2 separate regions of the Mus musculus genome follow, and region 2 is reported to be linked to region 1. Evidence: microRNA targets listed by miRTarBase, many of them from high-throughput screens and not tested one by one. Region 1 holds a microRNA gene; the other region holds the end of a gene's coding sequence.
The links. Region 1 holds the annotated microRNA mmu-miR-5120 (UUUGGGGCUGUGGUGCCACCAGC, at 2,049-2,071, opposite strand). A microRNA usually pairs through its seed, bases 2 to 8, with sites in the 3' UTR of a target mRNA and lowers its output. Matches are read on the target gene's strand: a 7mer-m8 pairs with bases 2 to 8, a 7mer-A1 pairs with bases 2 to 7 and ends in A, and an 8mer does both.

Region 2: miRTarBase lists Abca5 as a target of mmu-miR-5120. Seed matches in the 3' UTR shown: 7mer-A1 at 3,363-3,369.

What each region holds. Positions count from the first base shown.
Region 1 is chr4:44,605,488-44,609,883 of GRCm38, forward strand. Mir5120 (microRNA 5120) reads right to left here and starts at 2,081; the gene lies at 2,004-2,081. It overlaps Pax5 (paired box 5), which reads right to left. Exons shown (of 10, transcript NM_008782.3): 7 at 4,228-4,357.
Region 2 is chr11:110,269,000-110,273,395 of GRCm38, reverse strand. Abca5 (ATP-binding cassette, sub-family A (ABC1), member 5) reads left to right here. Exons shown (of 39, transcript NM_147219.2): 38 at 15-70; 39 at 830-4,027. The coding sequence ends at 937. Among named protein-coding and RNA genes, the nearest start is that of Abca6, 19 kb to the right of the region's middle.

The DNA.
Region 1 (4,396 bases):
GTTTTTTATTTGTTTTAAAAGCCCTTTATATAGAGGCTGCAGAGATGACTCAACAGTTAAGGGCACTTGTTGCTTCTGTAGAAAACCCAGATTTGGTTCCCAGAACCCAGGTCAGGCAGCTCACAATAACCTGTAACCCCAGTTCCAGGAGGTCTGACACCCTCTTCGGGCCTCTTTGGGCACCTTGCCACATACAGTACAATACAGATAAGCAGGCACACACATACGCATATAAAAATAGTACCTAGCAATCTTTTGTGTGTACACAAAAGCTCCTTAGATATTAAACAAATTAATGTTTACCATATATATTACACCCCCACCCTAGTTTTGCTTTTGGGTGTTTTTACATACAAAAAGATTTACATTTTTAACACTTTTCAAAATGTGTTAAAATGTTTTTAACATTTTTAAAATGTTTGAAACATTTTAAAGGACTTTTTCTACCCTAGGATTGTAATTTTTTCCCTTTTTTGGTCCTGGTTTATTATAGCTTTAATTTTTAAAGTCTTGGCTAAGTGGGGATTTGTTTTAAAGGTTACATAAGTATACATGTTTATGGGGTACATTGTGATATTCTGATATAAATTACAGTGTGTCATGGCTAAATCTGGCTAATTAGCATATCTGTTACCTCACAACCTATTTGTTTCCATAGAGACAATGAAGCAGGGATCTGACCACATATATCTGGACAATTTCTCCACTGTCCACCTTGGCCATGTGTCTGAAACCTCGGCTTCTACAATAGTTGCAGTTACTATAGCATTATTGTGTGCTCTTTTTAAAAAAAATTTTATTAGGTATTTTCCTCATTTACATTTCCAATGCTATCCCAAAAGCCCCCCATACCCCCCCTCCCCTATCCACCCACTCCCACTTCTTGGCCCTGGCGTTCCCCTGTACTGAGGCACATAAAGTTTCCACGACCAATGGGCCTCTCTTTCCACTGATGGCCGGCTAGGCCATCTTCTGATTCATATGCAGCTAGAGACAAGAGCTCCGGGGTACTGGTTAGTTCATATTGTTGTTCCACCTATAGGGTTGCAGATCCCTTTAGCTCCTTGGATACTTTCTCTAGCTCCTCCATTGGGGGCCCTGGTGTGCTTTTATTTTTATTTAAAATGTTTTTCCATTTAATGTGCATGTGAGAGAGAGACCATCCCGCTTTGGTACAAGCTCTTCATCCGCTGAGTCATCTTGTTCCTGGTCATATATTTTGGAATGTCCTAGAAGATCTGTTTAATTCTTTACTTTAGGACCTCTCTAGTTATGCCTAAATGTCTATTTATCCAGCACTTAGCACCATTTTGACAACTTTTCTTAAAGTCTCTTGGTGTCTGTGTGGGACTGCTTTAAGGTAAGAGGTTACGTGGGGAGTGGATGGAGCTCTGACAGTCAGTCTAGGAATGAACACCTCCTCATTCCTTTGTGTCACTTACGGAGTTCTAAATTTATTCTCTGGTTTGTATATATTGCTGTTGAAGGTCTCAGTCTTCTATTGTGCTCATTACTGTTGATTTGTAAGGAAGCTAATGACTAGTCTGACAGTTAGAACATGCCTTCCTTTTCTTCCTTTTGCGAATGCTTGTTCTTGTGGTTTGAAACTGAGTTTTCCTATGTAGACCAGGCTGGCCTCCAACTCCCAACCCTCCAGCTCAGCCTCCTGACTGAGCACATGTATGTGTGGCCACACCCTACTTTAGAATGTGCCTGGTGTTCATACTAAGCACAGCGCTGACTGGTCAGGGATGCTTATCCTCCATTTCTGTGTATCATGTGACTTTCAGATGAAGAAATCCAAATCAGTTCAAGCTAATCTCTCCTCCTCCAGGGTTTATCTGAAAACCAATCCATGTGGCGCCAGGCAGCTTCTGCAGATCGAGCCCTTGGAGCACCCAGATGGCCTTTCTAGCTGCAGCTCTGGATCTGGGTACAACGCACAAGCCTTGCCATACATACCTTCTAACGTGAATGAGGAGGCCTTTGCTGCAGACCATGGAAGCCTGTCTGAAGGGGCTGCTGCCACTGAGCTCCACTCTGTCACAGCTGGTGGCACCACAGCCCCAAAGGACCAGCTCTTCTACGTTTTTGAGAAGTCAGAAAGCTAGGGTTTTTGTTGTTTTGTTTTTGTTTTTAACTCTTGGCTCCAATTTTCTAAAAGCCCCCCATGAAATTCAGTGAGATTTGCCAAAGGCTAGATTAGCCTTGGTTAGGGAGCCTGCTTCTCATTTCCATGACAAGAGTTAGCCTTGGTGTTCACTGGACTATCAGCCACCTAAATGAGAACCTGCCCAAACCCATTTCCTAAATCCTGCCCCAAACTTCCCCTCTCCAGTGTGGTCTCCTCCCGGATCTCATGTGAGTACCACAAAGACCCTGGGAGATCAGAACTATTTTATGGATGGAAAAGCATCCAAAAGCAAATAGCAAGGAGGTCTCAGGCCTGGACGGACCCTCTGGCAGTCTCCATGGTTCAGTGACAGCACACAGGCCCTGTTGGAGTGCGTACAGCCACTCGTTGGCTGTGACCTCAGGAAGCGAGTTCTCTTCACTTATGCAATGGAGATGAAGGTAACAGTAGTCACTTCTCAGTGCTCCCCTGAGCTACCCAGCACAAGGCCTGAGACTCAGCGAAGGGACAGAGGCCATGAAGCTGAGCTGATCCAAGCTGGCTCCCCTGCCTTCCCTGTACCTCCTCAGTTGTCTGTTGTTCCTTGAAAACAGTACAAGGGTTCTAGAAAACTAAAGGTGACTCTAGAGTGGGCACATCTGAGCTTGGCTTCTGCACCTGTATAATGGGAACATTGTCACTGAGGTCCCTGGTGAACCCCGCAGGGGACCTCAGGAAATACCTCACTGGCTGCAGCTCACTGGCTGGCACCCCTTCCACACACCTTCTCCCCACGTCTCAGACGACTGTGCCCCAACTTAGATGCACCAAGGACCAAGTCACTTTTGCTCTATCTGACCCTCATGTGGTACCCAGACTAACAGACAGGGTTCAGCTGCTTTTAGCTTGAGCCCAGTACTGACTTAGACGTTAGGTCTCAGAGACAGGCCTCCAGTCTGGTCACTAAGGGACCCTGGGCCTCAGGTCTTGCCTCATCCATCCCTCCTCTGCAAACTCTAACACAAGCGAATTTCCTGGCTCTGCCTCTACCTTCAGGGTATGTCCATCAGCCAACAGGGACGTCTTGCCATCTCTATCTGGATCCCAAGCTCCAGCCCAAGGGTAGCCCAGGAGTCCCCACTGTCTGTACATTCCATATTCTGGAGACCCTCCTGCCTCCTGAGTGAGACACCCTCCCAGAACTGGCTTCAGGGACTGCTCCGGGGCTCCATGGTGCTGGGTTGGAGAAGGGGTTCCCCCTGCAGCAGCAAGTCCTCCAGTGACCAGCGTGAGGGGATCCTGGGGAGTCACAACTGACACATCCACTTACTGGGTGCTCGCTTTATACTAGGCAAGAGCCCAAGCTCTTCATAGGTGGGGACCCAGCCATTATCATAAGAGTCCTGTACAATAGCCATCACCACTGTTCCCAGCATACAGATGAGAAAACCACAGCTGGAATCCTGACACAACTCACTGGAGATTGCTTGACTGACACACAACAGGTCGGAACCCTGCAGCAAGTGGGGCCTGTCCTGGGGCTAGAACTCGGGCCCAGCACATGCTGGGCGGCACACTGCTGCTGAGCTGCCTCACCAGCCTGAGGCCTGTACTCTTCACCACTGATGGTGATCATGGCGGCTGCCAGGAAAGACAGCTGCTTGGCATATACCTAGCACCACCTAGTCCTTCTGTCCTCAGCCTCAGCTTGGAAATCTGACACGCCAATGGTGTCTTAAAAAGTCTCTCTACTCCTGGAAGTTAATGTCAACCAAAAGATTTTCCTGACTCATGAGAGGGAGAAACTCCAGACCTCGGAGTGCCTGGCCCCACCACAGGGACCCCTCTGACAGTATGATCCGTCTTCTCTTGGTGACTTGAAACAGTGTGCAGCCATGTCACCTCATCCACAACCTGTGTCCCCAGCAGTCTGTCACCTCACCCCATTAAAGCAGAGGCCAGTCATGTCCAAAAGCACCAAGGACAGCTTCCCACCTCACAGACCTATTCCCATTCTCTCTCTCTCTCTCTCTCTTGCTCTCTCTCTCTCTCTTGCTCTCTCACTCGCTCTTGTTCCCCCAACAACCCCCAAATCTCCATCTAGGTATGCTCACCTGTGACAATAGGGTAGGACTGTGGGCCTGGAACGCTGCTCCCGATGTCAGCGGGGGTGGGGCTCGTCAAGTTGGCTTTCATGTCATCCAGGCCTCCAGCCAGTGAAGCCATGGCTGAATACTCTGTGGTCTGAAAGAGGAAGCAGACATCTCAGCATGGAGCCCAGAG
Region 2 (4,396 bases), not on the chromosome of region 1:
TTATGTTTTAATAGCAAAACGCACTTTTGCCATTGAAGAATACAGCTTTTCTCAAGCAACCCTGGAACAGGTACCGTAAGGTTATATTAGAAAAGGTTACAGTTGACTGTACCTCGTAGCAATTGCTTAGGCTTAGAGTGTAGACGCCAACCCATATTATAGACATTTAAAACTATAGACTTAAGGTACATTTACTTACTTGTTTCATGTGTGGATGTGCAAGTGCCACAACATTTTAGTGGTGTCAGTTTTCAACCATGTGGCTTGGTGACTGAACTCAGGTCTTTGGCTTGATAAAAGGTACTGCTGAGCCATCTCACCATCCTCAAATTATAACTTAATTGGAATTGCAACTTTAGCTTCCTCTTAGTTTTTTGTTCAGTTCCATTTTAAAACATCTTTAATTGAATAGTCATATTATTTATATTTATTGACTACAGTGCGATGGTTTGATATATATGTATACTATTGAACAGTTAATTCAAGTACATTTAATTTTGTTAAGCTTGAACATCTTTTGTTTATCTTATTAAATATTTAAAAGACTCATGGCATTATTTTATATTAGAATACTTGAAATTGTTTAAACAATTTTAATTTATTTTATGACACTACTACTTGATATATTAATCAGAAAATGTATTAACCCTCTAAATATGTGTTTGTCTTTGTAGCTACTGGGCATACCTTGCTTTGTTTGAATAGCATCAATATTAGAAAATCCCTTGATACTTGTTACATGTTAGTTACGGCATTGTATCGTTTCTGACTTAGTTAAGAGTCCTCTGAATGATACAGTAGTTGACTTTTCCTTCTTCCTTTTACCTAGGTTTTTGTAGAACTTACTAAAGAGCAAGAGGAAGAAGATAACAGCTGTGGGACTTTGGCCAGCACTCTCTGGTGGGAAAGGACGCAGGAGGATAGAGTAGTATTTTGAATGTTTATGCTCACCCAGCCTACCGACCCTGAGTTGGTTTATTCTTTTTTATTCTATTTTTTTCTTCTTTTATCTTATCTTTGATTTTAAAAGCTTATTACTTGAATAGTTATTAAAAAAAATGAAAGCACTTGGAAATTTCTTAAAGTCCTTAATTAACACACCATGGTTATGGTTTGGATTTTCTTTCAATAAATTTGCGTGTAATTGTCCATGTGCATGTTTATATCTGAAGGTAGTCTATATGCCTACCTTCACGTTTCACAAAAACAATATTTCTCAACTTAGGATTTAAAGAAATAATAAAAGAATAATTCTGAATAATATTTAAATTTTATACTATGTTACATAATTATGTAATTTCCCAGTGCTAATTAAAAAGACCAGTGCCTGACTAATAACATAGAAGAGAGACACAAAGCAATGCAGAAACTGGCTTTCCCTTTGATATGTCTAAAAGAAGCTCTTAGTGGAAGTTGGCCTGTGTAAATGTGGAACCGTTGAGAAGTAACGTCCACTAGGTGGCAGTCGTTGGTCACAGGAAATAAAGGGAAGCCGCAGTCTAGTGACTGCAGATATGGGCAATTAAATGTTTCAGGTTGTATGTCTTTTGTCTACATTAAAATTCAAATGTGTTTGGTGATCGTTATTCACAGAAAGACTCTGACTAGAGTCTTAGTATGTAAGAGTCCAGGTCTCTGAAAGTGCAGTGACAGCTGTTTGTCGAGGTGGCCAGTTCATCTCTACTTCCCTCCAGACACCCGACTGCGAGCTGGGAGAGAGCGCGTTGTTGCCTTTCCTCATACAGGGCTCATTTAAGTTTATTCTTAGATGAGACATTTAATGGATAACCATCTTTATTACTAAATTTGATTCCTTGACTCTCTTGAGTTTTAAGTAGGTCAGCATATACCTTCCTTTAAAAGGTCACCTCAGAACATGGTAGAATATAGGAGCTCTTTCAAGGGTTAAATTAAGAAATAAAAATTAGAGTTTCACTCTTGTGACAGAGTTGAAATATGATAATTAATCTTAGAAATATTTGATTTTATGACTCATATGGACAGGTATACAAGTATATGATGTAGTTGATACTGTATTTCAGGCTGTTGTATATGTGTTAGCTTTGTAAAAACATATATTGTGGTGTGACTTTTGCATCAGAGACGTAAAGAACAATAGCAAGAACAGAGGGCTTGCTACCAACTTTCAATGGTCAAGCTTTCAGTGAAGTTATTAATTATTTAATGTTGGGAAGATTTAATGAACTTTTAGTCCTGTTGGGTAGTAAAATGTGTGACTTTAGGCACTAGTGGCTAATTCAAGTTTTCCTTTCTCAGTACAAGGTGGCACATGGCTGGCAACTTTCTCTATTGCTTTGACAGTTTCTTTCCACCTTCCTAAAGGCATCTGTGTAGTCTCGTATCTCAGAGGTACTCTAATGTAATAGAACCATCCTACAAGTCTGCTTGGATTTTATGACACGCCCCTCCCCCAAGTTCTTGTAAGGTTTCATTGGCAGTAGCTTGCCTCCTGATACCAAATTATAATTTTGGATCCTTTAAGGATCTTACATTTAATTAATCATTTAATTAATGATTACTGCATGACCAATATAGTCAAGATGTATTTAAGATGAAATCTTTATTTTTGCTGATAAATTATAAATTGCACATTGTATTTTCTCAGCAAGTCATTGCTAAATGGTGCCGTAAACTTGAAGAGCTATCTTTTAGAATTTAAGTACCTTGGGCCTTTTTTTGGGGGGGATGTGATTTTTGTAACTCTGTAACCTAGAACACATACCCTTAAAAACAAACAAACAAGCTGCATTTATAGTTTACTAGGACAGTTACCGAAAAGGGTAGGTTTCATTTGTGTCTTAAAAGCGTTTGGCCCTCCTAAGACAGAACTGTCTCATAGAGATGGTGAACACAGGCCATATCGCCTTCTTTCTCATATAGACTTGGTCACTGTCTATTAGCATTGCTCAGTGTGTGCTCAGTGTAAAATATAATTTTCCTAGGGAATGAAAGTCGAGACTGCACTGTCTAGTCTTCTATATTGTGTGTTCATTCATATTACAGTGGATAGTTTGGTTTTATACATGGATTTATTTTAAATTATCTTAAATTATTGCTTTCAGAACTTTGTTTCTTTTCAATACAGGTAAAGAAACAAGTGTATTTGTTAGCAACAAATGAAAACAAACTGCAGCGTCACCTTCCTGCCTTATATTTTCCATCTGTGGCCAAACAGTAAGAGTAGAACAAAGGCAGACTCTGCCGAGTTGAAGGCATTGCTGTCTGCAGCAGAGGGGCCGGTCAGGAGGAAGCAGTGGAAAGCGTTCTGGGAGGTTTGCCTTCTGTGGGCTCTTCCCTGCTTTCCATGCTGTTCTTAGGAAAAAGCAGGGTTCTTTTTTTTCCCCCAAAACTTTAATTTGTCAGAGATTATTTGTAGCCAGTTTTGGTTTTCTCTGTTAAAACATGTTTCGATACTTTAAGCACACCTTCCAGTGACTGCGTTTCAGAGTGGGCTCTTTGGGTAGAAGGATGAACTGTTCGGCTCTGTAAGATCTTACATTTTATTAAGACAAGGATAGATACTTATAACCAGTTATGATATGACAATGCTTTGCTACTAGTCTTAAGAATATCTTCTAGGAAAATGAATAGCACAGTTAATTTTACTAGGGTGAGTGTTGGTTTCCCGGTTCTTTGTTGGTCACTCAGCGTCTCATTCCGATCGTGCGTTTCACATTTGTTACAATGCCATCTTACATTTTCAGGTAGCATTCAAAACGCAGGACTTTTTTTTTTTTAAATAGCAAATGCTTTTAAATGCTTTTTCTTAATGTATTTTTAATATTGTTAACATTGAGTTCTCATCTTTCCCCTTGAAATAGCATATTACATAAAGTGAGAGAATTTATTCTCAGGTGAATTATTTTTGTATCAGCTATTCTTATAAGGTAAAAATTTACTTGTTTTCTATTCATAATGTGTTATATGTACAATTCTCAATGCTGCCCTTTAAGAAAAATGAATGTGCTTATATTATTAATAATAAACTTTAAGAGCTAAAAATCTATGACAGACTTCAGTTTGTATACCAAAATTCATTTAGTGTTCATAATTAGATGTGTGACTTAAATTCAAACTTGAAGCAGTCCTCTGTGCCTAAGATGGTAATATCCCTTAAGGACCCACATAAATGAAGGGATAAGAAAACATTGGGAGGAACTGCAGTTTAATCATACTCAAATTCAACAATAGATAACCAAGAAAAAAAGTAAGAGACTCTTGTTGCTTAGCGAGCCACTGGACATATTCTTCTCATTCTGTCTAGTTGAAAGTCAAAAGAACTTACAACAGCCATTTACCATTTACATGCAGAGCCCTGTGCTGGGGAGGGTGACTATTACCAGAAATGGGGTAATTCCAAAATTATTTATTTAAA